3 linked regions of the Lepisosteus oculatus genome follow. The protein of the gene in region 2 purifies or fractionates together with the protein of the main gene of each other region. This does not show direct contact. Links are inferred from orthologs where the notes say so. Each region holds a gene or a part of one and is shown on either strand. Other genes may lie near its edges. The genes, in order: mad1l1, mad2l1bp and lbr.

Region 1 (10,326 bases), on a different chromosome or scaffold from region 2:
ACCAGCGAGTTCATTCAGGTTATCTGAAGGTCTCATATACCTTTTTTCCGCTTTGCAATGTAACATTAGTTCTTAATTTATTCTTTTTTACTTTTCATTTCCTGAATGTCACCTAACAAAGTTAAGAAACCAACGCCTGCTCATGAGAAGTGTTACTATATAGAATTGACAGGGCACATCATTATATGGGCATGGATTTAAATTTCAGACTCCTCACATACACTTACCTTTAAAAGTAAACATTCACAGTCTAGCTCAGCACGTTTTTACAGATGTGTCTGGTCCCCGCACACTGATGCTCAGCCTGCAAAGTCTGCACTCCATTCAGGATCTTTGAAATAAGCCACCGGGGCAGAATCATGATCCGAGGGGAGCCCCACTCGCAGATCAAGCACCCTTCTTAACAGAGACCCAGAGGAGAGCCGGGAAACTACAGAACGCAGTGGGAAGTAGCACTTTGAACCCACTCTGTTGCAGAAAAGCCAGTGGCCCAGTTTTTAGGTAGGTAAAATGGACAACAGAGAGTAAAGCAGTTCAAAATGGGACTTCTCCATGTGCTTCTCCATGTATCGGGATGAAACAACATTTGGTACCACCTGTTCTATTCCTGCACTCCTCCTAATTTTACCAGCCATCACTAGCCTTGTTCCATTTGTGCTGAAGGTTACCCACACCAGCGCATCCCACAAAATGCCACTCACTCCTACAGCACTTCAAACATGTCTGGTGGCACTGCAAGACAACAGAAAATCTCTTTCTTTCCCAAATGTAACGGATTCATCGTAGTTCAACCTGGTTTCCAGGGTCTTTCGTTTCATTTACCCGAAATGCAGATGCTGTTGCAATCTTTCAAACACTTGTGCCTCAAGTTCCCATTTATCCTTCCAATAAGGGTATTGTCTGAAACAATGCTATCTTTTTAACCTTTTCTACTTGCTCATTACCAACATGGCTTAATGGTGATAATTAATTTGTTTTTCCAATTTTATGTGCTTTCTAACAATGTGATATCAGACTTTCACTTGAGCCACCATTCAGAAATATTCAGGTACAGAACAGTCAAGGTCTGTTTCCAATTGGCTTTGTAAAGTCATTTCAAAATACTGTACAATAGATTAATGAAATTATAAAATGTACAATTATACATCCATCCATTTTCTACAGTGCCCTGATCAGTACTGAGTCTATCCCGGCAAGCAAACAGGTGCAACTAAGGCAGGATACACCCTGGACTAGACACCAGTCCATCACACAGACTCACTCGCTCACACCAGGCCCAGTTTCCCAAGAGGCCAGTTAACCTACTGTACCAGCATGTCTTTGGACTGTGGGACACGAGCACAGGGACAACATGCAAACTCCACGCAGACAGCACCCCAGGTACGGAACTGAACCCAGGGCCCGAGTGCTGAGAGGCAGCAATGTTAACCACCGCGCCACTATACGGCCCATAATCACATGTCTTCCATGAAAATAACACAAAACCAAACAATCCTGATGATGTGCGTATTTTTGTACCTTTACTCTGCCTGCCCCCTAAGCTCCTTTGAAGTAACCCTAAGGGGCACGCATACAAATATCCACCGTTGAAAACCATCTATATGACGTGATGGCACAAAATTGATCAAAATTATGAATTAAGCCCACAAAAAAATCTGTGAATTAAAAAGGAAAGCCACATATAATGGACACTACTAAAATACGTGATACAGGCAGGCCGATAATAGCAGAAACTGTTTGACATTTCAAATGTACTGAATTGTAACAAACTGAGCTATTTGTGAAGGAAGAAATAATAATTCAGATGCACCTACAACACTCGTCTCTTTTTTGAAAAAAACTATAAATATCGTTCTCTGCAATTTCCTACTCAGGGTTCAGGATTTTTAAAGTAATTATCTCCTCAGGTGGGGGCTCTGATATACCAAACAATCTCAAACGCTCTATTCTTCAAAGTGCAGCAAGGCATGCATGGCAGAACGATTATATACATTTATATAGCAAAAACAATACTCTGTATTCCCCATCTCCAGTTCTTTGCATGGCTTGTTTCTGAACAATTTTTCATGTCATGGAGTCAGAGAAAAAGAAAACACAGCATGAAAGATAGACAACCTTTCTGTGAATTTCTACTTTCATTCTATTCAGACTCAGGTCCTACTGCCCATCTTCACGTAATTATCTTAAATATACAGCAGATTTTTGTTTTACAGGTGATTACACAGAGCAGTCCTTTTCTTAAAAGTAGAATTAGCAATAAAACAACTTGGACCCGAGTGTGAAATGACAGTATCTGAGACCACAGAACAAAAACCAGAAGATACAAAGCTGAACTTTGAGAGCGACCACCATGCAGAATTGTGTTTAAGACCCCCTGGCGGAATGAAACACAGAGATCAGAACTGCATCTTCAGGGCTCACCTCCAAGTCCCTGGCACTGGTGTGGGCTGCTTTTTCCAGCTCAATGCGGGCACGTTTGTGACTGAACTCCATCTGCGACTTCTCTTGGGCCATTTGTAAAAGATGGGTCTTGGAGAAGATTTTCTGAGCTTCCTCTTCCACCTAGAAATACATCGATAGTCACACAGCTGTTACAAGCTGTTAATATAACTGTGTGCACTGCTGTATCAGGTGATGGTGTTAGTGCCCACATCCCCAACACTGAGCCCTACAGCACAGGCCATGTGCTAGTTTTCTTGGATGCACTGTGCAACAGTCTTATACCTGGTCATCGGAGAGAGGTGGTGATGGCTGATGTGCCAAACTGAGTAGTGGTGTGGGATAAAGTCAGCTTTCTCCACCCTGCTTCATTCAGCGAATGGCTCGCTACCTGCCAGCGCACGGCCATGGAATTTCCACCCCGTTCCCCCTGCCTCAACCCCAGAGAGGAGCTGTTGTCTGCGTGGAGGTGAAAGGTTCATGATCACGGGCCACGTGATCAGATGTCTCTGCTGCACGCGTGAACGCCGGTTGTGGGGACATTACTGCAGTAGCTTGCAGGGGACGACAGCGTCGTGCCAGACTGTTGTTCTCTCGCTGTGGCCTGACTGGGAGTCGAGACCGGCCAACCAGTGAGATGTGTCCAGTTCAACGTTTGTGTTTATACTTTCGTTAAGTTTTCATTTGGTTGGACTCCTTGTCTTTGTGGATCTACTTGATTCAATCACGGAAACACTGTTTCCAATGTTACACTGTTTTCACTTTCTGTATGTGCATTAGTTTCATTTTACTTGAATGAAAACTTCTACCGTCCATGATACAAAGAAAATGCAAAATCCCGAGCCAGGGATTCTCCGGGACATTGGTTGACTTGACGCCGAATGAGAGGTTATAGTTTAATTAATGTCTCGATTAAGATTGAGACTGATCTGCTACTGAACTGGCTTATACTATATAGTACTTTCACAAAAATACAGTTTTATTAACTGCTTTTCGCAGTAACATATAGATTGCTCTTAATAGTGAGGCTGAAAATGTGGATTTTTAACAGCACTCAAGAGAATCCAAACAGCTCTCTTAACACCAGACACCAATTTGAAACTGGTATGAAGAACCTTCATACCAAATCTACATTAAATAATTTCCCCATGGCAAAGTAAGATAAATTAATTCCATTACTTACAATGCAGAGAAAGTCTTTACTGATGTAAAAATCAGTAATGTTTTTTTAAAAAAACAATCAATGTAACATACTGTCCAAAGGTGTGTTGATCTAACATTGTTACTAAAAAAAAAAACATTTCAGACCAAATAGTTAAATAATATTTGATTTCTTGAGAATCATGCATTTTAATTTTGTAATCGTGCACAATCTAATAAGCTCACTGTATGCATCTTGCATGGCTGAGCTCAAATGCTTATCTAGAGAACTGTACTCACCTTAAACTGGTAGTTGTACTGGAATTGCAGGTCACTTTTACTCGCGCTGGTTTCAGGCTGGCTCGTTGAAGCGTCATGTTGCGAGAGGAAACTCTCAAATGACTTTAAAGTGTTGAAGACGGTGGTATTGTCCTGCATGTTGTCCATTTTGAACTGGTTTTACTTTTTTCTTTAGAAAACAATCTGGAAGGCAAAGAAACGCACCTGAAAAGTGTCCGCCAAGCTCTCACCGCTACCGCTTGCAAAGCAAACAACCCTCAACAAAGTTTCAAAATGTTGTTTATGTTTATAAATCGTGTTATGACTGCTCCATTATGCTCAGTATCCTTTTTTTAATAAAAGCAGGAACAGATTTCCAAGCAATGTTTTCGTAGTATTGTCGAAGGTCATCATTAAGCTTTCCAAATGACTTCACTCGTGCAATAAAGTGGATTTTAACGGTTTAATATCTTAATGTTTGCGATAAAGGCACGTGAAAAGCAAGCTGAAGTTTGCATTTGCTTGGCCAGTGTGTTGCACACGAGTACTGTACACAAGAAAACTTAAACTATATATGCACAACTGTTTGGGTCAACCAAATTTCCAAAACATGCATCCATGTAATAAACCAAAATTTCAGCTGTCTAAGCACAACTCATATTACTTTACAAAAAAACACGACCATGTCAAAAACATGTAACATTTTTGAGAACACGCAATTTTCGATGATACCTTATTCCTTACTGCTTGGATCTCCCTCCTCCAACCCAGAACAGATCTACCTTCTCGCGAGAGTTCCTAGATGCTTGAGCGTAACGAATATAATAGCGGGGCTTAAAGGATATGATCGTTTACCGTAATACCTAGTCACCCTCACCATTTTTATAGGATTTCTGAAATTTGCAGTGGTTCAAATGTAATAAATGCTGCCCAGACCCTAAAACATGTATTTATTACTATTACTGGATGGCAGTACTCGGTTTATTTCTTCTTAGTTGGGGAAACATTATATATTAAAACAACAAAATACAAATGGGGAGTTTATAGCATGGATCTCCTTTTAGTCCATATCATTCTCCATTCACCAACTGCACAAATCTAATCCTTGTTTTATTTTTGAAATGTATAAAACTCTGCTCTTCACACACACACACAAACAAACACCATAAATCACAGGCCTGCAATACGTTACAGAAAGAAGTACGTACTGTAGTTTAATACAAAGGTCATGATGTCAAGTCCAGTGAAACCGAACACGTTTTTGTCACTTCAAATAAAATTACATTGCGTTAACAATAGGTTCATCATCTGTTTATAAAATAAAACCCAAGAAACCAAGATTTAAGGCTTTACAGTGTCTCGTGTTTAGGCCCTTACAGTGTGTCTGCAGCAATGAAATGTTAAACTCATGTTTGTTTGTTTGTTTTTCATTCTCAATTTTGGCAACGTCTCTTGCTGGCCTTGGGATAAAGTGCACATCATTTTGAAGTTTTTTTCCCAATTGTAATCTCACAAAACTCCAGTTTTTTAAACAATTGAAAAAACTGGAGGAAAATGCTAACAATCATTTGTCCTTGTAACTCTTGGCCAGGAAAAACAGCTCGGCGGACTCCTTCCTGCTGGCTTTAGGCTTTATGGTCCTGACTTCCTTGAAGGCCTGCGCCAGCTTCTTGTGGAGCTGATGGGCCAGTCCTCCGTCCCAGACTTTACACAGCAGAGTGCCTCCCGGACGCAGGACCCCCTCGGCCATGTCCACCAGGGAGAGACACATGCCGACCAGCCTCTCGTGGTCCAGCTCCCTGAAGCCGCTGGCGTTGGGCGCCATGTCGCTCAGGATGACGTCGGCCACGGAGGCCGGGAGAAGCTCCTGCAGGCGGGCAGGAGTGGCCGCGTCCGTCACGTCGCACGGGGAGAGGAAGTGCGCTCCGTCCAGGGGCGCGAGCCGCAGGAGGTCGACTCCGACGACAAAGCCCGCCGGCAATCCGGGATCTGAAACAAGGGAGAAGGCAGCACTACAAGCTGAACCAGTCTCATCCGTGTTCATGTACACAGAGCTTCTAATGCGGGGGTGGGCAACTCAAGTCCTGGGGGGCCGGTGTGTCTGGGTGCTTTCATTCCAAGCCAGCGCCTCACGAGCTAAACCAGGCGGTGACTAGCTACCTGCCTACACTGGGCCAACTGAACAGTTTCTCCCAGCTCGTCAGCTGCTGCGTCTTTGAAGAGCCCCACAAAACCTGCAGCGCCAGGACGGTCCAGTTTGGTGCTGACGTAACCGAGGTGCATGCTGGCTTCAAGGCCGTCTTAAGTGCTAAACTCCCATCTGCCCTGATCCTTATGGAAGCTGCCAAGCCCTAACCCCATCTCATCCAGTTCACCGAAACTACACAGGGTGTGCGCTTGTAATGTAAGACGATGTTGTGTTGGGCTGCAGTCAGACCCCAATTTAAAACACACCAAACATGCGCTCACCTGCCCCCGACGAGTTCACCCTCTCGACGGCGACCTGGCTCCACGCCCCCGGCGCTGCGCCGCAGTCAATGACGCGGAGCCCCGGCCTGAGGATGCGGTGCTGGTCGTCGATCTCCAGCAGCTTGAAGGCGCTCCGGCAGCGGTAGCTCTCCCGGCGGGCGGCCTTCACATACGGGTCGTTGATCTGCCTGGCGATCCATCGCTGCTCCGGAGCGCTCTTGCCTTTCGTGTTGTGTGGGCTCTTCCTCCAGCACCGAGCCGAGGCGTGCAGAGCCCTGCGCAGCATCCCTGGGAGAGGAAACACATCGCAACAAGTCCAAAACGCGCAGGGTCGCTGATCAAACTTTGTACGTATAGAGTGTACAATGCCGTGACTGTACGGTAAAGTTTCATACCACTGAGCTACACATCAACTCTTTATTCAAAGCAGGGCTGATTTCAGCCTTTTTTTCTATTGATCTACTTGATCAAAACAAATGGTTTTAATCCAAAAGGCTGAGGTCCATTCCTAATACGAACCTCAGCTTCATTTCTGCAAGACCCACTGAACCGACCTGTCATGTCAAACGAGTCCTAATTTGTTACTGAACCGCTTAAGTTTTAGAGGGTAGGACTAGCAGACCTCAGACACTTTCATTTTGAGGGGAAAATGCAATCACTTAATCTGAGATGCTAGTGGGTTACTAATTATTGGTTGCAAATTATATTACACTACAACCAATTCAGGAATAGCACCGGGCTGCATTGAGATTTTTGAATCCGTACAAAAGCGGTAGAACGAAGTTATGAATAACATCGATAATTAAAACTACATGAAGCCTTTACGTTAAAAGTTGCAAAATGTCACCTTTTCTCTGAAAGCACGTTTAAAAAGGGACCTTGATAGTACTCGTAAACATTAAGGATGAACACGCTTCCGTCACATATGACCTCCCGCACGTCCTCCCCGTGTTTCCAGTCGGACAGGTTTCAGGGTGGCACGCCTACAGTGAGCTGGGGAGTCATGTGTGTGGCTACCCGCTGGACTGACTTTCGAGGGAAGAGGCAGCTGTTGCAGAGTTACTGAATGTGCATCTGCTGCTATTGTTCACACATACTTTAGATGGTATCGTTCTTGGGTATGAGACTTGTTCTGTTTAATCAATTCACTTTTTTTTAGCCTTTAGGTCACTTTCAGATTGCTCATGCATGTCCATAGAAAATTATCTGACTATATGCAAGGATGTACTTGTATTATCCGGAGCTGGTGACGTCTATAGTAGTTAGGAAGGCAATTACTGTGACAAAAGAAGTTAACTGTATTGAGATGTGAATGAATGCGGTGTCGAGAAATGTACAGAGCAGGCTATGCAAATACAGCACAGTGACATTGTTCTTGTTACACTAAAACTTAATTAACGTTTTTCTGGGAATTTGTACGTTGTCTGGCCAATCTGTTTTCAGAGCAATTGTCCCGGCAATGATCACGGCACCTTACCGTACAAACTGTGAAAAATAATCAGTTTTGAGGCATAAAGTAGTGTGCTAAATAATATCACGCAATGCAGTATCTCACTGTTCAGAATCAAGTACATTCCATAGAAGTAATTTGAAAATGTCATATATACTGTATGGACATATATAACTTGGAGTAGTCTGAACTGTAGTGTTCAAATAAATTTTGAAGAATAAATGTGATAATATGGTATGCAAGTGTTAACTGTTGTTTTTAAAACAATTGTTTCAGGATTTCAGACCGCAGACCTGCAGCCGTCATAAAGCAATGGAACCGGCAGAGCTGGTGTCTTTCTGAACAGCTGAAGGGCTTCTGTCCGAGGGCTTGTGCCCTGAAACAAATGCCTTTTTTATGAACTTAAAGTTTGTGTCCGTGTGCACGAGCGCTTCCAAAATTAAGTCCCCAATTTGTCCATTTGCACACTGCGCAACGTCTGGGGGTCAGCGGCGTTCATACAGTAATCTTTCCACAGGTGTTTAGTCAGGTGCTTGACATGAGAGTGTGATCCTGGTCACTGTCTCTCCCGTGACATTAGAGCGCGGAGAGGGATTCAGTCGTGTGTGTGTCCTTCCCTGCAGCAGCGCAATGATCACTACCAAGCTGTTGACCCTGGTCATGGTGGTACAGCCTCAGCGGGTTCTCCTGGGCATGAAGAAGCGTGGTTTTGGCGCAGGGAAGTGGAACGGCTTTGGGGGCAAAGTTCAGCCGGGAGAGACAATCGAGCAAGCAGCGAAGCGGTGAGTCCAGTCACGAGGAAGCCTCATACCCCACAGAAGGTATTCAAATAAGCGAAACCCAAATATGGTAAACCCACAAACATTTCAGTTTAAGCTTAAGTTTATTTTTTTAAAATATGAACTATTTGAAATACAACAAAAGGTACATATGTTTTAGAAGTGTTTTTGGGGGGGGCGTAGGAATAAAACAGTGATCCCTCAGTGCAGAACTTATAGTTGAGCCACTAAATATTACGTACACTTAATTTGGTTCATTTGAATTCACGATTGGTAAAGCATCAGTAAACATTCATGATCTTAAATTTACCTTAAAATGTCTAATGAAATAATGCCCCACTAAAATGCCAGCAGAAGCCTGAATCAGATGGGTCGTGCTTGGTAGTGATAAAAACTACCAAAGACCTATCTTCCGATAGTGTACCTACCGTTTCAGCACAATTGATTTCCAGATGTGTGTACAACCACATACAGTACCTCTGCACTTGAGCTGTCCAGTTTTGGTTATGGAGGGCTGGCGTGTCAGCTGGTTTTCAAGCCAGAATAAAAATACACAGACGCACTGACCTTTCAGGACCAGGGCTGGGCATCCGCAGTGTAAGCTTGACATCATTAACCTACGTTATTAAACTGCATTAACTTAGATCTTGTGCTGAATGCAAGATAATGTCGGCTGCTAAAAATTGGTTTCCCATTGCTGGAAAGAGAATTTTGTTTAAACATTTAAATTGAGAAGTGAGACACATTTCAATTTTAGTGGCTCTGCAGTGACAACTAGCATTATTTTTTTTCCCTGCACTGGAGCATAATGGACGGTATTGCTTTGTCAGGGAGTTGCTGGAGGAGAGCAGCCTAACAGCTGACACCCTCGAGAAGATTGGAGAAATCAAATTCGAGTTTGTCGGAGAAACGGAACTGCTGGATGTTCATATTTTCAGGGCTGACAGCTTCCACGGAGAGCCAGCCGAATCGGATGGTGAGATTTTATTATCGGACGCATTTGTCTGCAGTCTAAAGCCCTGTACCTGAATTTGCCTTTTTTTCCATTAAAAACATAAAGAATTGTAATCTGGACTGTTCTTTCTGGTATGGCAATGTGATCAAATTCAATCATCGTCGCCATGCACTGTAAGTCAAGTCCAGGAGAGATTCTGTAAGTAAAATTACTTTGATGTAAAATTCCTTCAGATATCTGCTTCCTTTCAAAGCTATGTTTGTTGGCATTATGAACGATGTTGATAGGTTGAGAAAAGTCAGTGAAACTCTACTGTGCGTAGGTTTTGAACACGTTACTATTTCCAAATCTTGATCAGGAGGCAGCTTTTTTAAAAGAAAACCCTAGTGCAGGGATATAATGTACATGTTGATAATACAATAACAAATAATACTAAGATTAGTATTAAGTACTAAGATTAATACAAAATGTCACTAAGCTTTGTTTTTAGCTTTTCGGCTCTGCCTATGCAGAAACGCTGACTATGTGTTATCTTATTCACTAATTGTTCATTTTGTGAATTTTTAAAGTTTTAAAGTGTTATTGTATGTGTTTGTGTATTGTTTGTGTTTAAGAAATGCGACCACAGTGGTTTGACCGGGACAGAATCCCCTTTGATCAGATGTGGCCAGATGACATTTTGTGGTTCCCTCTGATGCTGCAAAAGAAGAAGTTTTTGGGCTATTTTAAGTTTCAAGGACATGACATAATTCTCGAGCACAAATTGGAAGAAGTGCAAAGCTTGTAAAATAATCTGGATAATGGGACCATGGGAC
Region 2 (9,999 bases):
GAGAGGACGTCAGGCGGCTCTTCCCCTACATGGAGAGGAATGTGTATGAGATCCTGAGGGAGTCAGGGTACCTGCACATCCAGGCCACCAAGCCAGACAGCGCAGGTGAGTGTAGCAGCGCACAGCTGGAGCCAGTTGAACCGGGAGCCCAACTGCTGGGTGAACCTCTGACTGCAGTTTCTTCTGCAGATGAGCTACAGAGCTGTATTGTAAAGTATGTTGTGTCAATTTATATGTAAGGGGGAGATAGCTCTGATTGCACTGCTTCTTTATGATCAATGGTGTGGATGGAACTGTGAGGGTTTTCACACATGGTTAAAATGCAAGTGCTTAATTTGATTATTTAAACTTTATTTTAAAAAAACTTGTTTGTAGACAATAGACAACTCTGAGCACCTACTGTATGAGAACACATAGAAGTAGGACCATGAATAAACAGGTAAAACCCATATTCAGGAAAAGACAAATCCAAAACTTTTCACTACATCAAAACACCTGTTTTATATCTTACTTTGATTAACTGAATTAGAAAAGGCCTCACGTCTGCTGTATAAAAATGTAAATTAAAATAGGGGAATTAAAAATCTGGAAATGAAGAACGTGAGCAGTCAGCCGATATTAGCCCAGTTAATGTTAAACTGGGATGAAAATGATCTGGGAGAACACTGGGCTCTGAAATGCAGCTGGTCTGCTACTCACCAGAGCTCAGAGGGGCTGTGTCTCCCCCCTGCAGGCTGTGGGCTGAACGACTCCCCTGTGGGCCTGGCTGCCTACATCCTGGAGAAGTTCTCCACCTGGACAGACTTCCAGCACAGAGGCCTGGAGGACGGGGGGCTGGAGAGGTAAGAACCTCTTGCTGCTCCCAAAACCCCCTCCAGGGACTGGAATAAATAAAATGCTGACCTCTCTCTACATAGACTGTGAAATTAATGTATATTTGAACATTTTAATAATTTGTTTTCAAAATGCTAAGAGCACAGAACTGGTAGAGCTAAGACCTTGGGGACCAGTGCTGTGTGCAGCAGGTATAAACCAGCACTGGAAATACTGCAGTTGCTCCGGGACCCGCCTCTGCTTAGGAACGAGTTTCAAGAGCTGTGTGACCCGGCGGGGACAGCAGCAGGACACGAGGTGGTTTGTTCACAGGAGATCCGCCTTTTCTTCCAGGAAGTTTTTCCTCGATGATCTCTTGACGAACGTCATGTTGTATTGGACCACAGGCTCCATTGTGCCTTCGATGCGGTTTTACAAAGAGAACCTGAAGGAGAACATTCACAAGAGGGTGGATGCCAGGTGAGATCACTTTCCTGGACACCCTGAACAAGGGGTCTTTACAGGGTTACTCCTTTCAGTTTCTGGCCTCCTCTCCCTTTGGTTCCCAATTAGATAAATCATGCTTGGAGGATGCAACTTCAAAACCTTCATAACAGCGCAGGGAAGCTGTTACTTCCCTCTCCTGTTGGCGCTGTGCAGGCTCCCGGCAGGGCCTCACTGGGTAGAGGCTGAGGCAGGTTGAGGCAGACTAGTGGGTCATGTCTGACTTCCGCCTCTGTCCAGGTATTCAGTAGGGCTCCTGGCCACGGTGCTCGTCTGGGTTAAACAGGTGTGGAACAGCTCTAGCAGGGAGCTGCAGTGCTGGGGAGACAGCAGTGGGTCTGATGCTAAAATCAAGGCCTGTTTTAACACCGTCCCTGGCCTGCGTGTTTTGGCAGGGTGGGCGTGTACGTTCCCACCGGCCTGGCGGCCTTTCCCCACGAGCTCCTGCACTGCCCGCGGTCCTGGGCAAGGTGGCGCTACAAGAACATCGTCTCCTACTCCTACATGCCCCGGGGGGGGCACTTCGCCGCCTTCGAGGAGCCAGAGCTGCTTACCGACGACTTCCGCGAGTTCGCAAAGAAAGTGGAGAAAATTGAAAAAAATTAAGAGGAGGATCCTGCTGGCCTGGTCCTGGAGCACTGCTGCATGTTCTGATTTTGAGATCTGTTACTTACTGACCACTAATTGGCTTTGTTAGTTCAGATCAATGAGATTGTATGAGGCATCTAAACCTGATAGACTGGGTTCTCCACAATGGGCTTGTGATACTGCTGAAGGGGATTCTAAATTAGCACTAATTGTGAAAGGTGACATGATGTTTAGATTAAGAGTTTAACACAATCTGACAACACACTAAACTGCAGCTCTTCAGAAAGGCACTTTACAGCAGATTTAATCTAAACTTTAGAGAAGGCCCATGGAAAAACCATCAGGTCTACTCCTTCTCCACAATAAAAAGCTTCCAACAGCAATGAAACTGACGGCTGCTGCTGTAACCTTCAATGAATTTCCACATCATTAGGGAAGGAAAATCTCACTTCCTGTGCTGCATTCTTTAAAACTTTAATACTTTAAACGAATTTACATTAGAATTGAAAGACATCCACACAACTTACAAGTTAAAAAAACAGCACCGATGGCCTCCCGCACTGACCATGAGGAGGCTCCGCAGAGGTAAAAAGCAGGAAAGGGGGGCTTTCTCCCTGTGCGGATAACCCCCACAGTCCCATGCTGACTCATGCCCAACTTTATTTTGCCACATCGCTTAGTGTAACGCGTATCTCGTCTGGCTCTCACCCCATTGTCTCTCATTTGCAAAACCCCTTGATGACCACAGGCGCCTGGAACCAGATATAATCCTCCCAGTCCCGCTGTTCGCCCTGGGCGGGGGTGGGGGGGTGCGTGTCGGAGGACAGAGCGATCACCTGCCTCTTCGCCCTGGTGGGCACCGTGTAGTCCTGCCTGGGCCGGAACCAGCCCACGCCGCAGTCCCGGTGGCCCAGCACCATGACCGTGGTGGCCACCAGGCTCCTGGGCTGCGGCTTGAACAGGACGTCCGCCACGAAGAGGGTGTGGAAAAGCTGACGCAGGCATGCGGCCGTGCCCAGGCTGCCAGCCTCCTCGCCCAGGACCAGGGCCTCCAGATCGATCTCGAACAGCTCCTTGGGCGCCATGACGTTGCCCCCCAGGAGCAGCAGCACGCGGGGCACCAGGGTGAGGGAGAACAGCACCTCCAGGTTCTGCAGCACCTCCTTCAGCTCCCGCAGCGTCTGTTGACAGCGCCGGCCGTCCAGGCCGCCCGTCTTCATGGGCCTGCGGAGGGCGCCCTGCAGAGGAAGGGCAGAGGTCAGACCTGAGCGGCGCTTCCTGTACTCTTGCTCCGTGCACCGCCCGGAGTCCCGATAGCGAGCCAGGCCCGCGTGTCCGTGCCCACAGGAGTGCGGGCGCCCAGCTCACCTGGCGGCCCGCCGGCGCTGTCGCCTCCTGCAGCAGCAGGAGCTGGTCGTAGGGCGCGGGCAGCTGCTGGCGCTCGTACAGCACGAACTTGAGCAGCTCGCAGGCAAACCTGCAGCAGCTGGTGTGGGCAACGGCACCGCGGAACACCACGCACACACGGCCGTCCTCCGCCTGCGCGCGAGGCCCAGAGCCTCTGGCCGGGGCGTCCACACACCGAGGGCAGCCGGCTGACCCCCCAGTCGCAGTGTCGACTTCCACTAAAACTGAAAGGAAATCACAGCGGAAAATCCTCCTGTCAGGGATTTAATTTTCTACACCACATGCACAGAGGAGGAAAACAACACTGGACAGTCCTACACTGTTGTAAAACACAGGAGCTCAGTAACCCACACTAACCTGGAAGACCATTCCAGATCAGCTCAACCAGAACTTGATTTGTGCTGGAAATACACACCTGGGGGCTTCAGCTCGCCCAGGTCTGAAAAGCTGTAAATTATTCATCCTAAAGAGCTCCCACGTGTGAAACATCAGACAGTTGGACAACAACACCCACCTATTCTCTAGTGCGGGCAATCAGTGACGCCTAGACCAAACTGTCAGGAGCGTTTTAATGACAAATTTAATCTCAAAAGTACAGCCGTCTAGGCTACAGTACACAAAAACGTAGGTCTGTATACTGAATGCCCACACAAACCACAAACATGTTTAAAGTAGTAAAATATTTAATATGCTTATGTAGTTCTTTCGGAAATGAACTTCTTAACCCAATTAAATGATTACTATTAATCTAGCTGGATTCCTATTCCTGATACAGGACACGCGAGGTGTCTGGGCCAGCGGAGGCCCCTGTCCAGCCGGGGCGGCACCGCCGAGCGCACCTGCGGCCTGGCCCGGCCCGGGAAGCCGGTTCTCCTTCTCCTCCTCGCCGCGGCCGCCCGCTCCCGTCTTGCCAGGCAAGGAGACGTCTGTGTTTTCCGACGTAACTGCCGCACCGATGTCCAGCACCGCCATCCTCTGGTCCAGGGGCTCCGGGTCCCGGTACACCGTCACCGGGCTGCCCGGCCGCCGCTGCTCCGCCATCCTCAGCCTCAGCCCCGGCTCGGTTTGAATCCGCCGCCGCGGCTGCGGCATCACGGGAGCCCGCAGGAAGTCGGGTCTGACAGCACGGGGCTCCTCACAGCCCCAGCGCAAAACTCAGCCCCGGCCGTGCCGTGCGCTCTTAATTTTAATCGTATATTTGATTTGGTTTTGTATTGTTATTTTTTAAATCTCTTTCAGGTTTTTAAAAACGCGTCACTTCCTGTACGTCAGACGGACTGCCGAGCCCTACAGTCTGCGCAGCTGCACCAGCGGCAGTCCAGCTGCTGAGGCATACGCCGACGTCTTAATGTCGGACACCGCCTAGACTGTACAGTACACTTCCTTAATTACTCTGGCACACAAATAAGATCTCATTGCCCTCTGTCGAAAAGTGCCGTAGCCCCGGATGCCGCTGAAAGGTAAAATGTAAAAAACATTCCTGACGCCTGGTCACCTCGGCGTGCGGCTTTATTATTAAGATTGTTTTATTTTCTGCTCGCTCTTCTTGAATCTTGAATAAGGGAGCGGTATAACCTATTGGGTTTGAACACAACAGCGGCAGGTTGCGGGTTCGAGTCCCTGCTGCAGGCGCTGCTGGTGTGCCTTGAGTGAGATACTGTACCCCATTTGCTCCAGTTCACCCAGTTGTGTAATAATAAGTTGGGGGATAATTCCTACACGGAGGGGAGTCACGTGCTCTCTCGTCCGCTTAACTCGCTGGAAACCGGGCTGAGCTCCAATCGACGAGCCGCTGTGGACTTCATCTTTCTTATCTTTCACGAATAAAGATGTCATGCCGCTGGTCTTCAGGTCTATCTCACGCCTGACCACAAGGCGGCAGCAGTCTTCCACTGTCTGAGACACTGTCCACCTTTAATACTTTAATTTCTCTGGGCGCACACAGTCAACGTTTTCACTGTCTTTACTAGTCATCAGGACTCCACAATTGTCATGCAGACATAGAGAGCAGAAGAGTAAATCTCAATATTACCAGTTATGCTTATGGATATCCTCAGTGTTAAGACACGTAGTGCAGCAAATGTACAGGGCGGAGTGGTGGCTCTGTGGCTCAGGATCTGCGCCTGTGGCTGGAAGGTTGCTGGTTCAAGTCCCGTGGCTGGCAGAGGAATCCTACTCCGTTGGGCCCCTGAGCAAGACCCTTCACCCCAGCTGCTCCAGGGGCGCCGTATAAATGGCTGACCCTGCACTCTGACCCCAAGCTTCTCTCCCTGTCTGTGTGTCTCATGGAGAGCAGGCTGGGGTTTGTGAAAGATGAATTCCTAATGCAAGAAACTTTATATGGCTAATAAAGTGATCTTACTAAGATACAGAACACACCTTAAGACAAAATTAATTTGTATCAAGGTTTTTTTTGTCGAAATTGTACAATGCATACAGGGAGGAGGTTGAAACCCTGACAGCATGGTGCCAGGAGAACAACCTCTCTCTTAACATCAGTAAGACAAAGGAGATGATTGTGGACTATAGGAAACATCAGGGAGGAGACCACACACCTATTTACATCAATGGGACTGCAGTGGAGAGGGTCAGCAGTTTTAAGTTCCTGGGAGTTAACATTTCAGAGGACTTAACCTGGACCCACCACACCAACACCGTGGTCAGGACAGCACGGCAGCGCCTGTTCTTTCTCCGCAGGCTAAAGAAGTTCAGCATGCCGTCACATATCCAGGCCAACTTCTACAGGTGCACCATTGAGAGCATCCTGACTGGTTGCATCACTGTCTGGTATGGGAACTGCTCCGCCCGGGATCGCAAAGTACTGCAGAGGGTGGTGAAGTCAGCGCAGCTTATCACCAGCTGTGAGCTACCAAGCATCCAGGAGATCTACTCAGCTAGATGTCTGAAGAAGGCCAGGTCCATTCTCAAGGACCCCAGTCATCCCAGTCACAAACTGTTTTCCCTCCTACTGTCTGGTAAACGGTACCAAAGCATTCGGTCCAAGTCCAACGGACTACGGAACAGCTTCTACCTCCAGGCAATAAAACTGCGAAATAGCCAATCTGCAGCTCCTTTATCAGATCACCTGTAATGGCTACATGGACACACAGTTTTCACTGTATTCAGCATAACTGCACTACATGTATATATTGCATACACCATGGAAACATAACAGCTCTACTCATATTGAGTTTTATTCAATTTCAAAAATGTAACCTCAGTTTTGTGATTTTTGTGTTTTTGTGAATTTTGTGATTTTTGTGAGCTCGCAGAAAAAGACATTTCATTGCCAGCAACTACTGCTGCACGCTGTATTGTTGTGCATTTGATAAATAAACTTTGACTTGACTTTGACTTGACTTGATGTACCAGAAAGACCTAATTTAGCATGTTGTATACAACTGTTATCTGTGTGTTATAAAATTGTTGCTCTGCAATCAGCCCAGAATAGAGTAACCACATACATTCCTGAACTCAAAGGAATGTCCTGCACTGTCGGGCAAAAGGACCTAAATATTTCTAGGCTTGTACAGAGAATACCTAATACAAATATTCAAAATCCTGAAATGAACTCCAGCCCAGTGGAACAGCGAAACACAAACCACAGGACACAAGTGGAAACTAGGTAGGAGTGCATTTAAAACCAAGAACAGGAGACATTTCTTTACGGTTCAGTTCAGTACTTCATTGCCAAGTCAAAGAACCTGATAGAGATTTGCTCTACTGCAGCCCCGATTCAAAGAAGAAAAATGTTACACTTCCACAGACAACATCCTGAGGTGTCTAATGACAAAAAGAGTTGTGAGAGTAGGGAACAGGATACTCTGTCATGTTTCTGAAGATGATAGCCTGGCTTCTCCCAAGACACAGCTGGATGAGATCCTGTGATCCTGAGATCACTACAGTATGTTGTGTGGGCACGGGCAAACTAGGAGACTGTCTAGAGCAATCAGGGATCCCCCTTAATGTGCAACACAACATTTTTTTTACTCAGCATGTTCAATTTGTGAGTGAAAAATTCCCTAGTGTGGCACTTTCTGTTGCTGCTGTTGTTGTGTTGTATTTGTAGCTGATACTTGTAGTGTCTGTGCAAATCGTGATCAGGGGAGTCTGCTGTCCAAGACCTTGCCTAGGGCCTGCAAGTATTTTTTTGTTGAACTAAGAAAACATGTTGGCGTTTGCAACCTAGGAGTAGTTTCACAATGAGGACAACAATATTGCTGGCTTCATTTGATATTCTTCACCTCTAACCTCACCCATTGCTGACGCAAAGACAGGCAAGAGTCAAGCATAGACATCCCCTCTTCTGTGGGCGGGGATTCTGATTTGAGTTGTAGCCAATAGGAGGAGAGATTGGGTTAAGAACCCAGCCCACTTTTGGTTCCTCATGAATATTCAGTGATCACTGATAAGGATCTCCATGGAAACATTTCCATGTGGATAATCCTAATGGAAGCCCGCTCAAAAAATAACCAATCATAACCAATAACCAAATAAGTTTCTGAAGCGCAGAAAAGAAGAGCAGGATAAGCGATCTCAAAACAGAGGTACGCTCCAATCATTTTAATAATACATCATTTGCATGATAATGTAATTTGGATTTCATTTGCTTTTGAGTCTATCAGATCCATGTTAGTAGCAAATAGTAGACGAACCACATTTTCAAGATCAAGATGTAGACTACGAGAGGTGTTTTACTTGAAGTTAACAGATTCATGTTTCTCTAATTGTACACAAGCTGTGTGGGATACCTGGCTAAAAATCAGTGCTGCTAGGCCAAACAAAAGCTTGAAGGTGAATGCGCAGTACAAAAAACTGTTCAGTGTTTATACGTGATCAGAGTTAAAACATATTTGTTTTCCTTGGGGTTTCTGCTGTATTTCAATGAATGGGGGTATCGTGAACCCAACCTGTAGCCCTTCAGATTGCAGTCTCTCTCCCAGTGACAGTGGCAGGAGCAGAGAGGAGCTGCTCAGAGCTCAAGATGATTAAAACACTCCTGAGGTCAGCCTTGGCACAAGGCCATCATGAGCATCAGTCACGCTGTGGGTCGACTACTATGGCATGAAGATGCAATTGATGATTTTGCCTCCCGAAAATCTAGTCGAATGATTTATAGAACATTTTTTTGGATGCTCCCATTTGCTTGGCCTGTTATCTTTGTAAAATGTATGCTTCTTGTTCTTGTCTGTAACATATTATGTGCTCTTCAAAGTTGAACAGTACGTTTTCCAGTTAAATAATTAATTTATTTAATGGTTCTAAACAGTAAAACAAGGTTGTGTTGGGAGCTGATACTAGTAATGTCTGTGCAAATCATGAATAAGGGAGGCCCCTTTCCAAGACCTTGCCTAGTGCCCGCAGGGAGCTTGGGCCGGCCATGGTTTTTGTTTTTGTTGAACTAAGAAAACATGTTTTGGCATTTGCAACCTAGGAGTAGTTTCACAATGAGGACAACAATATTGGTGGCTTCATTTGACATTCTTCACCTCTAACCTCACCCGTCGCTGATGCAAAGACAGGCAAGAGTCGAGCGCAGACATGCCCTCTTCCGTGGGCGGGGATTCTGATGTGAGTCACAGCCAATAGGAGGAGAGACTGGATTGAAATCCCAGCCCACTTTTGGTTCCTCATGAATATTCAGTGAACGTCATCGAAAATATTTCCCTCTCTGTCATCAGCCTTGACGTATATCCGCTTCAGTGAGCTCAGTGCTGAGGTATCGTTTTCGGGTGCAGAGGGGGTGCAGTGTTTTTGTTTTTATTCCCTCTCTGTAGCCCAGCAGATGCGTTACCGGCGCTGTCCCGGTTTTCGGAAGTCGAAAGAGCCGCGACGCATCTGAGGGGGAGGAGAGAGGCCGCGGCCGCAAGATGGACTCGCGGATGGCGGAGCTCTTCGGTACCGGCTCCGGCTTGAAGTCGGGCTCGCAGGGACTGGCTGCCGGTTCGGGGAACGGGTTCGGGATGATGTCCAAAAAGTCGACCTCGAAAAACGGCAAGAAAGCGAAGAACCGGGCGAGCAGAAGCACGAAGCCCAGCAACAACCCGCCGTACCTGCCCCCGGAGGTGAGACCGCGGAGCGAGCGGAGACCGGGTCTCGGACCCAGTCAGAACCCGTCCGGACTGCAGCATGTTTGTGCTGAGCCGCAGTTCGTGTTCCAGACTTGCTTTCTGTTTCGGATGAGCAGATACGAGCTCCCGCGATGTTACAAATGCATGTAATTTACAAACAGGAAGGCAGCTGGCTGGGCTTGAGCGTTTTAAACCCGTGAGGTTGGGGTTAACTCAGAATAACAGCCCTGAGATGTGGTTAGGAATGAACATTAAGACGACAGTAGTCATAGTATCAACTACTATTATTTTTTTTTCGCTAAGTGAACCAATAGAGGGAGAGAGTGCTGTCAGGGCACAGGACGGAAGAGAGAAGGTTGTTTGATTGTCTGATTGTGGACAGTCAGCTGACAGATGTTTTCTGTGTCCTTGTTGTTGTTGTGTTATATAGTTGTTTTTTTCTGTTGTAATACTACAATAATAGCTATACAGCTGTTTATCACGTTTTGTAGTTTGTTAGTTGTCTGTTGTTGTGCTTTGGCGTTATGGTAATGTTGTGGTTCTTAGCCCTGGTCCCGGATTACTCCTGTGTGTCTGCTGTTTTTTTTCCAGCTGGGTTCTTAATCACTAGCAAATT
Region 3 (10,737 bases), on a different chromosome or scaffold from region 2:
ATGACCGAGAACACAATTCATTGTTTAAAAAAACAAACCATAAAAGACAAAAACTCAATAAAAGATGTGCAAAATAACCACAAGAGCAAGGCTAGCATTCATGGTCTCTGAACCTGTCAAATCTACAGTAAGTCTAACAATATTTTTTTGACTGAGAATGCTGTAAATATCAAGATCATCTCTCTGGCACTTCTAGAATTGGTGGTTGCCACAGGTCTTAATGAAAGGCCAGCAAAGCAAGTTAAAACAAATGAAGTGTGCAGAACACCATGAAAAAATGGACACTGGGAGTAATTGAACCACATGTAACAGTCTGACAACACATTCTTGTTTATTTTAATTACATAAGAAGTACAGTACAACAGACTCCTATCCTATTCAGTTCCCACCTAGGGAATGAGGCTCACTAGATAATCATCCTTTTCTAGTTCTTATTACTTATTCTGTATTTTTCTGTGGACAGAACCAAAACAAAATTTGCAGTCTTTATGCTTTCAATTAAACAGGTATTTAAATGACTTATAACACAATAGCAATGTCTTTGTGAGGATTTCTCCCTGGTACAGTTTTTATCTGTAGATATGTTAAATATACATCTTCTGAAAAATGAAGAATTATAAAACATAAGCCTGATCTAATGATCAAACTTTCAAATGCATATGATGGTGGTATCACAGACCATAGCCCTCACTGATCCTGGACTGCTTGATTCTGTTTTTGTCAAAATAGTACAGGACTATTGCTAATCAGAGTCTATGAACCTGTCATGGTTGTAATTTACAAGTAGATATGAGGTACTGTATGGTAAAGAATGTATACTGCATAAATGCTGTGTTACAAAATAAGGCCAAAAATGTTTTCAAGTAATCTTCTAGTCAATAACTAACTTCAGATTCATTTTGAGGGCCATTGGTGATGACCTCTTTCAAGTTAGTTCTATCTATCCATCCATTTTAACGGCTTTATCCAATAGGATTGTGGGGAAGTTGGAACTTATCCTGACGAGCAATGGGCGCAATATATTGATACTCTTGACAGGACACCAATTCATTGCAGGGCACACTTAGACAAAAAAATGTATGTACACACTCACATTAGGGCTTTTTTTTCCCAGAACCCAGTTAAACAACCAGTGTGTCTTTGGAATGTAGGAGGAAACCTGAGCACCTGGAGGAACCCCACACAAACAGTGAGAACATGCAAACTCCACACTGGTAGCAGTTCAGGAATTGAACCCAGGGCCCCAATGCTGTGAGACAGCAATGCTAACCACTGGCCACCCAGGTTATGTTAACTCTTTTACAAATATATACAGCTAAACCAATCTGATTTACAGGAAATTATTAGACTGCACTTTTGACCACTTTCAAATAACAAACAGGTCTCCTTCCCCTGAGGGGATACAAAACATTTTTGAGCTATAATTGCCTATTCCCTAAAGTGTTCAGGTTTGTCTGTAGTAGAAGAATTGGTCATTGATTTGCAGGTTATTGATTAAAACCAACCATTTTATTTCAAATGCCTTCACTGGCATTTTGTGTAATTTATAAGGTAATGTCATTCTGAGATTACTGGCTGTAACTGAAGATAATATCTTTTCCTTTGATCTTAAACTCTGTGTTCATGTTATCAGATGAGGATCAGTAAATAAATGAGGATTTATTTTGAGGATCAGTCTTTAGATGATTTTAGTTAAAGCCCTCTAGCAGTAAAAAGGCACACCCAAAGAAGGCTCCACAGCCGAAAGGTTGTGTTTTCTTTCTTCTCTTTTCAGCATGGAATAAACCTATTACTTGTTCCAATGTACATGTACAAGTGTTATGATTTAAATAATTTTAAATTAATTAATACTTGTTTAAAAACTTGTGAAACTTAACATAAAATTACAGAGCAGCCTTTGAACATTAAGATTTTTTACAGACACTGTACTAATAAGGTAAGAGATAAAAATCATTTTTAATTCTAAAAGCATGTTACAGATATTCAGTTAGCTAACGGAGTCACTGCATGCTGTAAGAAGCTTAGTCAGTTGGCTCAAGATTAATTGGACACTTTGTATTTTCCGGTTGCTTTGAAACTTAAATGAATACACAAATGGAGCCTCAATGCCTTGCTATATTAACATTGTCATTAAATAGCTGTTCTCTTGCCTCCTGGACGTAGATGATACATCATCTCATCTCATCTCAGCCCATGGACATTCAATGGGCTCAAATCTAGTGTGTAGGGCATGCACAGCAGAGCTGTCACATTCTCATTGTGCATGAAAGCTTTTGTTTAGATGAGCTGCATGAGGACGTCCTTTGTCTTGTTGGAATGTTCACGTCAGCATGGGCTGCAAATGATGGACTTGATCAATGTTTTGCATCCCATCCATCCATCCACCCCCTTCATCCAATTCAGGGTCAACAGGGGAGTTGGAGCCTATGCCGACAAGCAACTGGCAGGATACACCCTGGATGGGATGCCAGCCACTCGCAAGGCACAAACACTCACCCCAGGGCCAATTGAACCAGCGCTATGTGTTTGGACTGTGGGAGAAAACTGAAGCATCCAGAGGGAACATACAAATCTTTAAAGAAGTGTTTCCTAATCCTAGGTTTAATGCCACAGTGTCATGCCGAGATGTTGGTTTAACTTAATTATTACGTGAACTAATACTGTAATTTGTTTAACAGGAAACGTTTCATTGTGTTCAGGTCTTAGATGGGTAGATATTTCAATTTATGAATTATACAAGCATATGAACAACTTGAAGGTTGCAACTGCTTAGCACCTGAAACTATAAATACTGTAATCTCTAATTGGAAATCTGCTGTATGGTTCTCAATTGCATAAGCTTTAATTAAGCCATTCCAGAAATGTACATGTATTTCCTACTTGAAATAGACCCGATTGCAAAATCACTGGGCATTCAGAGAAAAATACACTTAGTTTTTTTGGCTGCCCCCAAGAAATGTCAGGACTTTTCACCAATTTGGAATAAATTTCTTCCTCTTCCTGACAGGTTCTCAGCCCATACCTACCTGCCTGTGACAGACATGTTTTGACAATGTCCTGTTACAGAGTGCTTCAGGGGGTCTGTGAGTAATGTGATTTCAGATGTGACTGGTGTGAAGGAAATCCAGAAGACTTTCCTGGGTTAATGTGCTGTACTCTTATTGCCATTTAACAATGGTAACAGTGGTATCTGAAAAATGTAAGCACAAGCCAATGAGGAAAGAAATCGAGAAATATAATATGCAGCTGTTATATTTCAACGGTTGCGCCTTAATCAGGAAATAAACAAAAGCACTGTTCATGAACGCTCTGCTGTAGAAGCATCCGTTTGTTCAACAGGTGTTCTAAATTCATGCTCTACAATAACCAGCATTATATATTTAAAATCCAATCATAGCCTTGTGCAAGGAAGTGCATTTTTTGTGCAGGCTTAACATTAATTAACACAAAACATAATTGCTGTTTCAATTGCGTCTCTACAGTATATTCACATATTTTTTCAAAATAATCTGCTTTCCAACAAGTTAAGCTTTGCAATACAGCTGAAGCTTGATACAACAGGTAAAGGGCAACAGCTGATATTAAATTCTTTCTTTTTGACGTGCTTTCATAGTAAAAACATGTTTCTCAGGAAACTTCTCAAAGTTGAGCCAGAAAAGTGCATTGGGGGGGGGATGTTTTTCTAAGTGGAAAATCTAGGGGCTTCAGCAATGGATTCCTCTTGAGAGATTCCTTAAGCACTTCCTCACAGTCTGTTTTGAGAATATCGTCTTAAAACACATTATTGAGCAAATAGGCATCTAAACAATCAACATGTAGATGGAACTTCAGACAAAACCGGGACACACCAGTATTATGTAGAATACATACCGTATTAACAGTTCCTTGGACTGGATGGTATTTAACAGGTAAGTATTATACAATGGAACAAGTAATAGGTTTATTCCATGCTGAAAAGAGAAGAAAACACAACATTTGGACCATGACCAAAACCTTGTGTTTTCTTTCTTCTCTTTTTTAAAGCATGGAATAAAACCTATTACTTGTTCCTTTGCAGCCTTCGCATGCTGACGCAGCTACCCACCTGAACTAGTATAATACAATGCTGTTGTCTATACTGTATATATTAAGAGACATTAAAACGCAACAAGTGTCATTGCTTTTGATACACATTTTTACTGCTTCACTCTATATAGAAATACATGTTGTATTAAAGTTAGTAACACTCAGGAAATCTCAACATACATTCATTTTCTAACTGTTTCTTTCAAGGTTTGCAGGGGAGCTGGAACCAAACCGGGCAAACAATCGGCACAAGACAGGGCACACCATAGACAGGACATTAGGCCATCACAAGACAGACACACTCACACCTAGGGCCAATTTTCCCAGAAGCCGGTTAACTTACCGGGATGTTGTTTTTGTTTTTGGAAAAGCAGAGCACCCAGAGAAAATCTACACTCCAGACAGATAGCAAACTAAGTCTGCACCATCATGCTGCCCAGATTCTCCACAATCAGGTGACAAAGAAGTTTCAATAAAAATATTTTCTTAAACTTAAGCTTTTTTTCTCACACAATTTCCTTATACTGTACATTTCTTACACTAAACTAAAACGTGCATTTTAGACACATATCGGTAGCATTTTACAACACCCACATTGGACATTGTCCTTAATTTAACTGTTAATCTTGAGTTGAGATTAGGAAGTAGTGCACTGAGGCATGAATGACATGGCAGCACTTTCAATGGTTTATTTCTTCACATGTTCCTCCTAACTGTAACAGCTGTGACTTGAGTGCACGGTAGAAGGTTACATACCTATATTATATCTGCCTTCTTTAGAGTTTTTTTAAGAATGTCAGAGCTGATGCATACCTCATGCTCCATTCTTTCATTTGATTGGACACATCCCCTTTGTGTAGTACTGTGTTTTTAACCGCTCCAAATATCGTTTTCCAAGATGATTCAGCTCCTGATAAGCCCACTATAGTCTGTGCATATTTATGTATTCACCTAAACAGGTCGGAAAACAGACCCTTTTATGTTTACCAGTATCATGTGATCACACTACTGTAGGTTGGGTCTATCATTGATCTATTTCTGAAACACGGCAACAAATCTGCAATGTCTGGTATCAAGATGTGTTGTATTGTTTTTTGGCAGAGGAAGGGACTGTATTCTGTGAAAAACAATACGTTTTTACATTACATTCTTTTTGGCAAACTGAGAAAATAAAATGGTATTAACAACGAAACCTGGAAGGAAATTGCATTACATTCCAAATCCTATGCCAAAATAGACAAATCATAAATCATTGATTGTCATAGAACTATAGATGATTTTTTACTGTGAATGTGCTGAAGACAAAACGGAGATATTGATTACCAAGACAGAATCTAAATAATTCCAATAAGAGTTGATGGTGATGAGATCTGAAAAAAAATGGATTTTTTAAACTCGCATTTGACTTTTGCTGCAAAAGCCGGGTTTACAAATCTCAAGTAACGGAATGCCCCCTTTTCACTCCTTCGTTGTCCATTTTTATCTTTCTTTAATGCTGTTAGTGATTTTATAAGGCAAGATAATACATACAGATTAGCTTTTGCTTGTTTTGGTCTAGGCTACTGTAAAACCTCAATTTCCCTTCGCGATCAATAAAGTCTTATTCATCTCTTGTGTTGCGTACACATCTATAACTTTTTTATAAATGGGTATTTGCCTAGACCAAATCATAGCGAAATTACAAGAAACAATAAACCAATTTTAGCGTAATGCTCAAGTGCGTATTAACTGACGTTGCCTATCAGCAGAGCAAAGTTATATCAGAGCTACCTTACTGTGTACGTTAGTTTTAGCTACAAATGGAAATGCACAAATGCTAAAATGTTAAGTAATTGAGCACCTCAGTTTAAAATAATAGGATTTCCCGTTGGTTTCCTGAGTGTGTCGCAACAGACTACGGAACACAAGAGATGAATAAGACTTTATTGATCCCGAAGGGAAATTGAGGTTTTACAGCAGCCTAGCCCAAAACAAGCAAAAACAGACGTATGAATTGGCGAAAAATTAAAATACGTACTGTAATACGAAATAAATAGGTGTGTGCAAAATATGCTCATAATCACTTTAAAAATAAAATACAGATATACAAAATGTGCAACGGTTAATTTACGTATACCTTTTTAAACGAAACCTTTATTTCAGTGGATATCACAAAATCAAAGAAAGTCCGCACGGTTTATTCACTCGGTGATCATGCTCTTAAAAGAGGTAGCAAAAGCCTCTCCGCTCCCGCGCTCCGAACACCACTCTCTACCGCAGCCATTTTGTGTCACTCGCCTAAAAGACTCAAAGAGCTGCAGGACAAGCCGGTTTGTTTGACTTCGCCTTAGCTCCAATCATTGTCGACCCGTGATCCCCGCCTCGCCAATCAGCGTCGCTTGAAATTTTCAAACTCTTTCTGACGGACCAATCAGTAGCCTTCGCGCTATCACCGACGCCAGGGGCTTGCCTGTGAGAGGGAGGTGGAACGTACTGTTTAGACTTATAATTATTAATCGTTTTTAAACTAATTACATCACATATTGGGTCATAATCGCTGATTTCGGTGTACGTGACTCCAAGGTAAGCACACTTCATTTTGTTTTCACTTGGTTAGCAGGCTCTGGATTGCAGTAGTAACTTTTGGGTGTAAATTGCACGCCGATGTTGTTTTGTGGTCGCCTCTTCTGCCTCGGGATCCGTGAAGTGAAAACTGGAGCGAAGGCGCAAAACTCGAACCAGAGATCGCGAAAACCCTTCCAAGTTAACCCTTAAGGGCGAATTTTACATGTGCTGGGTTTAACCTGGTGACTTCTTTACTTTCCGCGCTTTGGTGGCGGTTCTCCCTATTTTAATCCCTGGATTGTGGCAATAAGGTGCCTTTTGTGGTTTATAATAACCATTAGAGTCGTAATAATAACCACAGGGATCGGTCGGTATTTTTTTTTTGGTAAACGTGGTCTTAAGGGCGTTGTTTCTCTCATTTCGCGCGAAAGGCCTAATAACATGTCTGTCTTCTCGTTGTTTTTTTCTGCCTTTTCCAGTTTTTGATTTGACTCTGGCGCCAGTTCATGTTCAGTAACTGGGGGGCGACTCGCACCTGCTCAGATTGTTCTTGCATCGTTTCCTGGCGCTCGGCGCTGCACCACACGCTTTATAACTGGGTTTAAACGCCAGCAATGTTTGAATCGTGACGTTTTCCCTCCACTCCGGTGTCACCCGGTTTGTTGTTTGTTAAAGGAGCCGATACTGTTTCGGGACTTGTTTTCTCCCAACGGTGGAGACTTTAATTTCTGAATATTGTTGCCATTCTCTGACCTGTTACTTGGTGAAACTGAAACGAGAGTCCGTGCCCGTCTTCCACCTTTAATTTATATATATTTACCAAGTGGCCTGCATAATTTATAATGCAGACGCCTTTGTACTGTAATTTAAAGTCATTCGATCTGGTCTTTTTATACAAGATGACAATGTTGCATTTAGTAAAACAAAAACCAAGCAGCAATTAATGCCGTTTTATGTTGCTGTACGTATCCACAACCAAACGTCTCTGTAAAATCGGGGTGCAGCTCTTTTCAGGTTGTTTTTATGTCAGAGGTTAGTTGTTCGGCTCATGTTCACTTCAGTTGAACCCACTACAGCAGGTTTGAGAAAGAGCGGCGCTAAACCGGAATTACGTTGGTGACGCATTTTCATTTCTTGCTTTTAAACACCACCGGGGCATCTCTCTTAGCGCGGCAATGCGAGGTTTCATTTTGCTTAAATGTACAGAGAGATACCAGGACACTGTGAGGCCACATTTCCTGTTTTAAGCGAAATTCTGCGGCGCTGCTCGGGCCTCTGCGCTGTACGTCTAACACAACATTTTGCCGTCTCTTGCGTTTATTGGAACAACGTGGCGGACTTTTAAAGTTTGGGCCGCTTTCAGTGTTCAGTAGTCTGGCCGAGTGGAGAAGAGTCTGCGACCACTAACCTCCAGAGGGCCGCCTGTGGGTTTACTTTCATATAAATAAACTTCACTTCTGTCAGTGCAGCCTGAATTTCTCTCAGGTCGTTAAAATGTGAAATCCTTAAGCCGCCCAGAAGAGACTGGGTTAAAGTAATGTAGTGCGAAGCCCCGCCTCTTAGGCTCCCTTATTCCCAGGCCAGGGCGAGAGGTTTTCCCGGCTGCCGAAGTTGATGATAATAAACGTTATTTTATATAGCGCCTTTAAAGGTGGCTTCTCAAAGCGCTTTACAGGATGACAACAACAATAAATAAGAATAATAATGATCACGGAGGAAAGGGAACAAAAGACTCGGACACCCTTAGATCATGTTCAAAGCTAATAAGCCTGCAAACTGGGCCACTGAGATGAGTATCATTTAAGGGATAGATTGACATGTACCGTACTAAAACTCGCCAAGGCAACCTTATGATTTTTTTTTACTGTTCCTGGTATTATTTATTGTAAGATAAGGTTTTCTATATTACGTATGTAACACCGTTGCGATACCAGCTTTCCCTCTTGAAATGTGACAGCAGTGCTGCTTGTGGCTCTGTCAGTTTCCCCATCTGACCTGCTGTTGGACTGTCCCTGGCAATGAAATAAAGTACAGGATCTCGTTTTCTTACTGGTGCATCCAACTCCTGAAATTCCAGTGCTGTCATACTGGAGTACAGTAGTTATATATTTATTACTTATTCTATGGAATCTTTTAGTTTTGAGTTTTAGACATTTACATTTCTATTATTTGTCTATTCTACTAAAGAAATTTAGTAACTGTGTGACTTACTAATGTGATTTCTATTAATATTTACATATTTAGAATGAATGGCTGCAGTGGAGTGAATTATAAACAATCTGCCACTGTCTTCTCCTGGTGTGTGCATCAGCACTTTTAAATTGCTGATTTTTCTTTTCTTCTTGTTCACTTATGGTCTGTTTAACCTAAAAAGAAACATCAACAAAAGAGGCAGTACTGCTGCAGACATTAAAAAATCAAAGAACATAATTACACATCCCATTACACGCCCCCTTGTGTACAAGGTAACTACATACCAAGGATCAGAGTTGTGTGTTTTTGTATGATTGGATAATTCAGGGAGGTCTGATAAAGGACTTTCAGTAAGTATCTGTATGTTGCTGATTGCTTTGTACAATGGCTATTGACAAAGTGAACAAAAGAAGCAGTATTGAACCGTTTTCAAACGTTCAGAGTAACCACGCTGGGAATAGTTGTCAGCAGTTTGGTGAAAAGCACATTGCTCACAAAACTACTTACATCCTAGCTTTAGTATTTGTTACTACTGTATGAGTACAATGCCTCTTTACTGTTTCTTCTGGGATGTTAATTAACTTGAAAAATACTGTTCCTGTGAATTTTATGTCAAAGTAAAAGATAAATACAAGAAGTACAAGACAGTCCGGGTCTGAAAAGGATTTTGTGGGTTCATAAGAAGTCTGCATTATGTTTGAGTGGGAAGCTGTGTTGATGTGTAGCTCACTTGAAAAAGGCTCAGCAGCTGAATCATACTTCAGAATCACAAGTTCTACCATATTCATAGTTTTAGACATGGTTATTAGATGTCAGAAATGTACAATCCTTAAACAGCTGTTGTCATTTTCCTTCAAATTTAGTGCCATGTGGTTAAAGTATGAAATAAGTTGTATTTCACACTAGATGGGAAAGTTATTGCAACACACTGTTGAGTGTTAGGATTAGTTCATTGTAACATTAATTGTACAAATCCTTATAAATTGCTTACTGTTTTGTGACCTAATCTTCCTTAGAGTATCCAGATAAAAGGAGGCTGTTATATGCATAATTTCCCCTGTTCTGAGAAACTGAGTTCTTCCTATTTTCCAATTTCCAGCTGTGCGCCTTAAATTACTTTATTTTTATTTTTAAATTGTTTGTTTCTAGGTAGGTTTTAGACAATGCCGAGCAGCAAGTTTCAGAGTGGGGAGATGGTGATGGGGCGCTGGCCTGGTAGCAGTCTCTATTATGAGGTGAAGGTGATGAATTTTGATGCTCCCACTGAGCTCTACACGGTGAAGTACAAGGATGGCACTGAACTGGAACTGAAGGAATCTGATATTCGGGTAAGATGTCCTGTGTTCTCTAAAGCCCATTCTCTAAAAGCATTGCTTCTCTAAAGCCCATTGTCTTAAAACATTGCTTAAAGTACTTTGTACGAGTGAGGGGGTTTAGATAAGGCCACAATATGCCACAATTACAAGGTTTTGTTCTTAAAATTAATCTGAATTAGTGCAAAGTCTCGATCTCTGGACATGAGCACTCAAGCTTAAAAAAAGGCACATTGCTAACTATTCAAAAAGATCCAAGCTACAGTGGTGCCCGAATGTTTGCGTACAACGGTTTTTCTTATTGATTATGTAAATCCAACTTAAGAACATAAGTTAGAAAGTTACACATGAGAGAAGGCTCATCTAGTTCACTTGATGGCTAGTAGCTAGGTCACCTAAGCATTTCAAATGTTTTTTGAAACAAGTCAGGGTATCATATTTGACAGCAGTGCAGCAAGGCTGCTCCATACTTCCACCACTCTTTGTATAGAGATGTGCCCCCCTGTTCTCAGGTTCGAATGCACTTAAACACAGCTTCACCGTGTGTCCTGGTTTGTTTTTAACTTGATTCTGGAAAAAATCCTTTGGACTGACTTTGTGAAAGCCTTTTAAGATTTGTTTG

What was found.
Region 1: the proteins of mad2l1bp (region 2) and mad1l1 purify together in Homo sapiens (co-immunoprecipitation; 4 studies listed by BioGRID and IntAct, with this or other methods). This does not show direct contact. The link is inferred for Lepisosteus oculatus from reciprocal best matches to the Homo sapiens genes MAD2L1BP and MAD1L1.
Region 3: the proteins of mad2l1bp (region 2) and lbr purify together in Homo sapiens (co-immunoprecipitation; 3 studies listed by BioGRID and IntAct, counting the BioPlex papers as one, with this or other methods). This does not show direct contact. The link is inferred for Lepisosteus oculatus from reciprocal best matches to the Homo sapiens genes MAD2L1BP and LBR.

What each region holds. Positions count from the first base shown.
Region 1 is NC_090714.1:1,966,516-1,976,841, forward strand, and holds the start of mad1l1 (mitotic spindle assembly checkpoint protein MAD1), read right to left. Parts: upstream 4,957-10,326; 5' UTR 4,591-4,956; intron 4,063-4,590; 5' UTR 4,027-4,062; coding exon 3,880-4,026; intron 2,563-3,879; coding exon 2,422-2,562; intron 1-2,421. Other genes in the region: mrm2 (rRNA methyltransferase 2, mitochondrial), read right to left, coding at 5,423-5,847, 6,328-6,613; nudt1 (oxidized purine nucleoside triphosphate hydrolase), read left to right, coding at 8,408-8,559, 9,387-9,532, 10,126-10,298. UniProt on the Homo sapiens protein: Component of the spindle-assembly checkpoint that prevents the onset of anaphase until all chromosomes are properly aligned at the metaphase plate.
Region 2 is NC_090712.1:640,119-650,117, forward strand, and holds mad2l1bp (MAD2L1-binding protein), read right to left. Parts: upstream 4,619-9,999; 5' UTR 4,405-4,618; coding exon 4,152-4,404; intron 3,537-4,151; coding exon 3,274-3,536; intron 3,144-3,273; coding exon 2,625-3,143; 3' UTR 2,501-2,624; downstream 1-2,500. Other genes in the region: ephx5 (epoxide hydrolase 1), read left to right, coding at 1-105, 734-842, 1,168-1,293, 1,713-1,923; gtpbp2b (GTP-binding protein 2b), read left to right, coding at 9,183-9,377. UniProt on the Homo sapiens protein: May function to silence the spindle checkpoint and allow mitosis to proceed through anaphase by binding MAD2L1 after it has become dissociated from the MAD2L1-CDC20 complex.
Region 3 is NC_090697.1:58,796,167-58,806,903, forward strand, and holds the start of lbr (delta(14)-sterol reductase LBR), read left to right. Parts: upstream 1-6,290; 5' UTR 6,291-6,627; intron 6,628-9,951; 5' UTR 9,952-9,965; coding exon 9,966-10,130; intron 10,131-10,737. UniProt on the Homo sapiens protein: Catalyzes the reduction of the C14-unsaturated bond of lanosterol, as part of the metabolic pathway leading to cholesterol biosynthesis.